Caenorhabditis elegans: one gene and its partner. The protein of the gene in region 1 purifies or fractionates together with the protein of each later gene. This does not show direct contact. Each region holds a gene or a part of one and is shown on either strand. Other genes may lie near its edges. The genes, in order: prx-19 and ndub-6.

Region 1 (4,624 bases):
ACTTTTTGACTGTAAAAAAAATCTTTGATTCGCCTTAACTTTTCCTTCGGAGTTTTGCATTTTAGAGTTTAAAAATAGTTTAAAATTGAGAGATTATTCATACCGAAAAAGTCATAAAGCAAAGAAATAGGCGCCACATTTCGTCAAAGCTATCAAATTCCGGGAGACGTTCGCAAGCGGAACAGGCGAAAATTTGATTGCGCAATCATTAAACGACATAGTCGGCACAAGGATAACGAGTACAATCAAATTTTACATGCAACAAGAAATCTTATACACAGAGACACCCTTAAATTGGGTTAAGGACCCAGAGATGGGCGGTCCCTAGGAATGTTCGTTTTGAAAAGAATGACAATTAGCAGATTGTGTAGAGAGAGAGAGAGCAAGTGTAGAAGAAGACGAGAAAGACTATGGTGCTACTCAAAGAGATAAAATCAAAAAGTGAAGAAGAAGTGGGAGAAAAGGACACACCCTCTCGGGAATTCACATGGGCGCCCTCCTCCGCCCTTTTCTTGGTTTGAAAGAGCATATGGTGAATGAGATATTGATATACAACCAGATAATGAAGATTTGTTTGAACTTCGAATTATAGTAATCTGAATTTTCAGTTAAAACTTTGGGAAAAGTTTATCCTAATGTAATTTTTTCAATGTTGTTATGGGGACTTAAAATATGCGTATTTTGAAATATGAGTGTAATCTCCAACGCCAAATGGGTCTTGTTAGGTATTGGTGTTTTAACAATTTGTTTCAAGATAAAACGTGAATGAAGTGTAACATAAAATAATTAGAATAACAAAAAAATTTGGCCCATGATCCGAGGGTACATCGGAATAGGGTACATCGAGCGATTTTTCGTTCTTGGGGTACATTCGAGCAAAGGGTACAATCATTCTTAGGGTACATCCACCTGTTTGTTCAGAGGGTACATCCATGGGATTTTCATAGGGTACATCGGCACTATGTTCCAAGGGTACATCCAATTTTCAAGGGGTTCAACGGAAATTTATAACTGAAATTTCTTAGAGTTGTGATTTCTCATAATCATTTTCGCATATTATCGACTTTTTTTCGGTTTTTTTACTGTCGATATTGAAAAATTCGGAATTAAACCATTGTTTTGTTTCTTGATTTCAATTTTATGAATTACAAAACAATGGTTTAATTCGAATTTTTCAATACGGCAGTTAAAAAAAGAAAAAAAGTGATAATATGCAAAAATGATTATGAGAAATCACAACTCTAAGAAATTTCAGTTATAAATTTCCGTTGAACCCCTTGAAAATTGGATGTACCCTTGGAACATAGTGCCGATGTACCCTATGAAAATCCCATGGATGTACCCTCTGAACAAACCGTTGGATGTACCCTAAGAATGATTGTACCCTTTGCTCGAATGTACCCCGAGAACAAATGTACCCTCAATTCGATGTACCCTTGGATCATGGGCCAAAAAATTTAGAAAACTGCCAGAAATGCTTAAAAAATTGGCAAAATAATTGAAAACGTTTTTATTCTCGGTTTTGCCGCCAAAACCTAATGAGACCCAAACTATATGGGCGGAGCGTTCTTATTTGCCTGAAAATATGGTAAATCTTTTGATTAACTATACCACACGTCGTCAACGTATGAACTCCTTCATATATTTTTCAACAACCCCAACATATGTGTATTACACTAGATTTGTGTAAATCTCCTACCGAGAAGCAGTTGTCCTTTTGCAAACAACTGATTGCGCAGCGGTTTAAACAAGAAACGACGAGCAGGCATTCGAATTTGAACTACCGCCAACAACTGTCGCAAGCGCGCTCCGTAGATAAAAACTTTTCCGTGATGTAATTTGTGAACGAAACTAGAATTTTTCAGCGCTTTTATTTAATTTTCAGTATATTTTTGAATTTAAGTTGATTTTATTGATTTTTAAAGTAATTTTATGACAGAAAAAGAATGTCATTCGATTTTTAAGTAGCTTACTATGGATCCCACCGAAATCTGAAAACATTGCGACCTTGCCATTCGATTTTTTTAATAATCATAGCAATTTTAACATATGATCCTTATCGATAAATCTGAACACATAAATAGTACACTGTACCCATTTGTTTTTATTTGATAAGAACACAACCTCCCGTGTGTTCACCGATTGTGTGTTTTATCGATCCAAAAGTACCCCCGCATTTCTCCTTTTCACTTATTTCCCCCTTTTCTTCTCACCGCCTCACTCTTTCGACTTTTTATTTTGCCTCTTTTTCAGAAAAAGATGACTGACGAAACAACCCAAAATATTAAAGACAAAACAGAGGAAGAGCTTGCCGCTTTGCTTGATCAAACTTTGGGAGAATTCACGGCGACACCAGCGTAAGTTTTAAATGTTTTTTAAGCCTAAAGTAAAAAAGTTTTAGTTTCTCATCCGTTTTATTTTTCAGACCAAAACCACGTACAACAGATGATGAACTCGATGAACTGATGGCTTCAGCTGATCAAGAAGCTGCACAAAAAGCTGCGAAAGACTTCCAGAAAATGCTCGAACAAATGGTGACTCTGCAAGAAGAAGCCATGAAAAAAGCTGGAGCAGATCCATCAGAAGGAGAAGGAGAACAGCCACTTGATCCAAATGATCCAGAAGCTCTTGCAATGATGGATGCATTAAAACAACTTATGGAATGCTCATCAAATGTTGCAAATGCTAGCAACCCAGAAGAATTTATGGCTGGTCTTGATATGTTACGTTCTCCAAATTCTCCAATGGAGCCATTTATGAGCATGATTATGCAAACTCTAGCTTCAAAAGAAGTCATGTATCCCCCACTTAAAGAAATTTTCGATAACTATCCAAAGTATTTGGAGGATAACGGTGCTGGTTTAGATGCTGAAACAAAGGAACGATATGAGAAACAATTCGAGGTTATTTTCTCACATTTGCAACAAAAATATAGAAAAAGCCAAATTATTTTTGTATTCTCGCACGACGAAAAATGACCAATTTCGAAATGTTCGTGTTTTCCGGCTATATTTATTGGTTTTCTTTCTATTTATTGACTTGAAACACAATTTCTCAAATTTTTCGACGAATTCTTTGAAACAAAAACCGAAAAATATTTAAAATACAAATCTATAATTAAGCATTATTTTCAACTGTTGCAGAAAATTTCTGAAATGTTGAAAAAAAATTATTTCAATTCAATAGTTAAAGAAAAACCTAACTCAAAATATTCAAAAATATGATTTTGTGCGGGAATTCAAAAATAATTCAGCTATTCGAAATTTTAGTGCAAAAACGTAAAAAAAATATATGTATTTTTAAATTTTTTTTTTGCCCAAATGACAAACAATAGTGTCACTTTACTCAATGTTTTTTTTTTCTTTAAAAAAAAATTTTCTAAAAAAATTTTTTTTCTAAAAGCTGTGAACAAGTAATATTTCTCCCAAAATTTACTATTTTTCAGGTTCTTGGAAAAATCTGCACAGAATTCGAAAAACAACCAGAATTGGCCGAAGTTCAACCTGTAGACGCAGCCACTCAACCTGCTCCCGAAGCGGATCCAGCATCTATCGAACATTTTGAGAAGCTTGGAAAGTTGCTCGTCGAGCTCCAACAATACGGATATCCACCAAAAGAACTTGTTGGAGCACTTCCAGATGGATGGCAAATTGATGAGTCTGGTCTTCCGAAAGTTGCCGATGCTGCAGCAGCAACTGAAGCGTGCTCAATTATGTGAATACTATTAACTATGTTGTTATATCAAATTGAAGCCAAAGAAATAGAATTTTAGAAAAAATAAACTTTTGTGTTTAAAAAACATAACTGTTTCCCATCAACTCTTCAATATGATAATCCCTGAATAGAAATGTCTCTTCCCCAGTGTAGCAATAAGTGTCCTCAGTTATTTTCCACATTTTCTAAGTCAGTTACTAGTTTGGTTTTTTTTTGTTTTTTTTGTTATGCTTCAACGAATAGATTTTTCTTTTAAAGTTCGCTTTTCAAGTGTGTGGCCAAATTATTTTCCAAATTACAGTCTTTTCCTTATATCCAAACATGTTTCAAATCAATAAAGATTTATGAATTTGAATTCCCTTTGAACACTTGATGATCACAATTAACTGTAATTGATATTTTTCAGAATCAGAAATTTATCTATCATTAATGAGACTACAAATATCATATTTTTAGAAAATAAATTTGCTTTCAATTAAATATTTCAGATGTCTGGACACTCATATGCTTCTGTAGTCGATCGAATTTATTCAAGAAAAAGTTCGGAACTTTATGATAATATTGCATATCTTCATCATCCAAGTGGTGTCACCGTTGTCGTTCTTCGAAATGTGAGATTTTTCTGAAAGGCACACTTAAAGGCGCATACAGATCTCACCCCGGAAAAATTCGGCGAAAAATTTGAATATTCTATTAAAACAGGCCTGGTGCGGTTTGATACATGCCGATTTACTAAGATTTGCGAACTACATACGGAAAAGTGTGAATTTATCTGTTTTGCAAAAAATACATTTTATAAAGAAAATTTTTTTATTATATGTATAGAAAACAATTCAAAATGTTTAGATTCCTGAAAGTGAAGTTGTCGAAGTGGATTTTGGAACGACGAAGAAGCACGGCGCAGATCGTT
Region 2 (3,369 bases), on another chromosome or scaffold:
TTAAAGCTATGGGGAATCAAGTTTAATATTCAATTGGCGGATTTTTTCGAAGAATTTCCAGTGACGATCCTTTAGGAAGATCACCAACTTTCTCTCCCAATTGATACATCCGTGTCTGAACTTCGTCAGTGATGATTTTTCGCATTTGTTCAGTGGTCAGTGACTTTGATAGAACTGTTTTCTTGAGATCAGACAGGAAAAATGGCTCTCCGATGTGAACTGTTACGGTCTGAAACGGAAAAAAATGAATAATTTCACTACGTTTTTTGCAGATTTTATATTTTTACGTCTAAATTTGATTATTGAACTTGAAAAATCTTCCGACTTACATTTCCAAATTTAGGATAGTATGGAGGTTGTGTTGGCCAAACTTTTTCCATCTCTTTACACCATACAGGCAATATTACTGGATCGGTTTTAGCATCCATCACAAGCCTTCCAATTCCCCACTTGAATCGTAGTGGTTCACTTTCAAGAGTACACACTTTTCCTTCTGGAAAGATATGAACCCATTTATTATCATTCAGCATATCCACACAGAAATCCATTCCTTTTTGATAAACTCCTTCTCCACGAACACACGGAACACAACGTCCTAATGAGAACATTCTGAAAAATAAATATGCGACGATTAATTTGAAAAATTCAAGAGAAAAAACTCTTACGTTGTATGGAACTGTTTTGTGAAGCAAATGTTGTGAGCTGCGAGAGTGTATCTATTGCGATCTTTGTATCTCCAAAACTCACGGAATTTCAGAATACCTGAAAATAGAAATTAGGAATGCTATAATAAATCATTCGGCTTACACCACATGAGCGGGTCGTCGATATTTGAGCGATGATTTGAGACTGTGATGAGTGGTTGATTCGGATTTTCCAAAATCTTGACGAATGTCTCTTTGTTGTGGCATATCAACTTATTGGATCCTAAAATGTATCGAATTTAATAATTTTAAACTTTAATTAAAAGACAAACCTCCAAGGAACATAAGTTTGGAAACTGAAGTGACTAAACTCATTGTCATGTATGATTTTATACGGTACAGAAGTGACGGTTTTTTTGGAAAGGGCCATGCAAACCGGAAGCCTTGCACGTCATTTGTTTTATCCCGCATTGTACCCGACATCGTGCTGAAATACTTTTAAAGTTTAGAAAAATCTTTCGAATGGAATAATAAAGTGTTAGAGAACGTGGAAACTATATTAATTTTAATCAGAACAATGCAAGAAAAAAGAAAGAGAAAAGTGCGCCGCGCGCTTGCACCTCGAAACTCCGCCTTCTTTTGCAAGCCGCAACGGGCTTTTTAATAAATGGCAGATCTAAATTTAACTGCAAAATAGTTTGTTTTATTCAAATTTGCTAAAATTTTATTGATTTCGTATGTAATTTATGTTAAATTGTTATATTTCGTTGTCATGTATCATGTTTTTTGTGTGCCCGTTCATTATTATCGATTTTTACTCAGTTTATATTTAAGCAGTCTCACAAATTCATAAAAACGAATTTCAGGCTCAAATGGGTAACCAGTATGTGAAACCAGAACGCACGGGCAATTCCCCTTATACCCGGTCCGGAGTTCCACCACCGGCGCTTGTCAAGACTGGTGACAAGCCTCTTCACAGGTAATTCTTTTAGATTCTGTTCAACAAATTCTATTCAACACAAAAAAATTCAGAGTGAATGACCGCATGTCTCTCGAGCTCCACATGGCCGATGAGCGTGTTCGTGCCGCTGGTTTGAGCCCAGCCGAAAGAGAATGGAGAAAGAAGTGGGTTCATGTGAGTTTTTACATTTTTTGTCAATTGTTAATACTAAAATGTTTATGTTTAGGACCAGCACCTTCACGCTGACGAGCCAGTCGTTGTCGATGCCGTTCATCGTCAGTTGAACCCAATCAGAACCGCTTACAGACTTCCATGGGACAAGTTCTATCTTCATTACCTCAAGGTGAGATATATTTTCTTTAAAAAAATCAATTTTTTAATTTGAATTTCTCATTTATTGCATTTCAGCCAACATTCGGAGTTTACTATGGAACCGCTATCAGAGTTACAGCTCCAAAATTGCTCATGGCTTTCGTCGTTGTGCAGACTGCCTATTATTATTGGAAATACGAAGTCAAGGTATTCAATTTTTTGAATTTTATATTAATTTCACGAACCATTATCTTTTCAAGGACTGGACACATTTGAGAGGACTTGAATCGATGCCACAAAAAGAAGTTATTGCTAGTGCTCCAGCAATTGAAGAGAAATTCCCTGGACTCATGGATAAGGGACTCGCCAACCCATCCAAGGATGACTACTACACGTGAGTTAAACAATAATTTGTGGAATATTGGAAAATTGAAACTTTTCAGACCAACATTTAATAAGCGTACTGCTTACCTCGATGTTGGAGAGACAAAACGACCGTGGTAATCGAAAGGAAACGAGTGACAATCAGTCATTCGAATATGTACTTTTAGGGTGTTGTAGACGAATTTTTAAAGTTTTTTCTTTGTTTTTGACCCTACCGTAAATAAAAAATTTCATGAATGATTTATTTAACCAACTTTCTAGGTTTTATTCATAAAAAACAAGTTGAGATTATAAAAAAATAGGAGAACAACGAGATGGTGCTGCGGAAATACCTGAAGAAGGAAAATAACAAAGAACAACAAAGTATTAAGAGGTATTTTAAGGAAAGAACACTAGTGGATAAAGATACTACAGAGGAAACCTTGAAGGTTATGAAAGAATTTACGTTAGGGAATTAATATTGCTAATGATGAGGTTGATGGGAATAAAATAAGGAGGAATAAGAAGTTTAGGCCGTGACGACCATCTTGATGACCATTGTGAAGATCAGACCAGAGACAATTCCAGAGATGAGGAAGAATCCGGCCATCATTCCAGCGACCTGAGCCTTCGATGGATCAACAGTCTTCGAGGTGTACATCATGGCGAGTCCCGAGAAATATCCACTTCCAAAGCTCATCGAGGCGGCGATAATGACGAAAAGCCAGGTGGATTCGAAAAAGACGGGAAGTGAACGGGTCTCAGGGAGATAGTTGCAGAAGATGAAGAATGGAATATAGAGGAGACGGAGGTAGACTGGAATCCAGAGCTTGTTCGGCGCAGGCTGAAATAAATATTGATATATTAGATTATTCTAATTTATTCAAGTTTACGGTATTCCTTCAATCAGATTTTGCCAAAATCTCAAAAAATAAAAACATACCCATTGCTTTCTTCCGGCGACAATTGATCCAATAAAAGCGAACACGTTGAATTGAAGGAATGTGGTCACATCCATGAAGTATTTTTCTGAAAATTCACGGTTATGTATTTCAAGAGAATTGATGAAAAACTGACGTGGCAATGGGA

The links.
Region 2: the proteins of prx-19 (region 1) and ndub-6 fractionate together in Caenorhabditis elegans (co-fractionation; one large-scale study listed by BioGRID). This does not show direct contact.

What each region holds. Positions count from the first base shown.
Region 1 is NC_003281.10:8,806,925-8,811,548, reverse strand, and holds prx-19 (Putative peroxisomal biogenesis factor 19), read left to right. Parts: upstream 1-2,253; 5' UTR 2,254-2,259; coding exon 2,260-2,357; intron 2,358-2,425; coding exon 2,426-2,903; intron 2,904-3,445; coding exon 3,446-3,718; 3' UTR 3,719-4,067; downstream 4,068-4,624. Other genes in the region: F54F2.7 (uncharacterized protein), read left to right, coding at 4,203-4,325, 4,561-4,624.
Region 2 is NC_003282.8:11,650,893-11,654,261, forward strand, and holds ndub-6 (NADH dehydrogenase [ubiquinone] 1 beta subcomplex subunit 6), read left to right. Parts: upstream 1-1,510; 5' UTR 1,511-1,516; coding exon 1,517-1,623; intron 1,624-1,676; coding exon 1,677-1,779; intron 1,780-1,831; coding exon 1,832-1,948; intron 1,949-2,013; coding exon 2,014-2,124; intron 2,125-2,177; coding exon 2,178-2,311; intron 2,312-2,360; coding exon 2,361-2,421; 3' UTR 2,422-2,540; downstream 2,541-3,369. Other genes in the region: acl-3 (Tafazzin family protein), read right to left, coding at 23-229, 330-609, 666-762, 808-927, 977-1,127; ent-1 (Equilibrative nucleoside transporter 3), read right to left, coding at 2,810-3,124, 3,224-3,309, 3,358-3,369.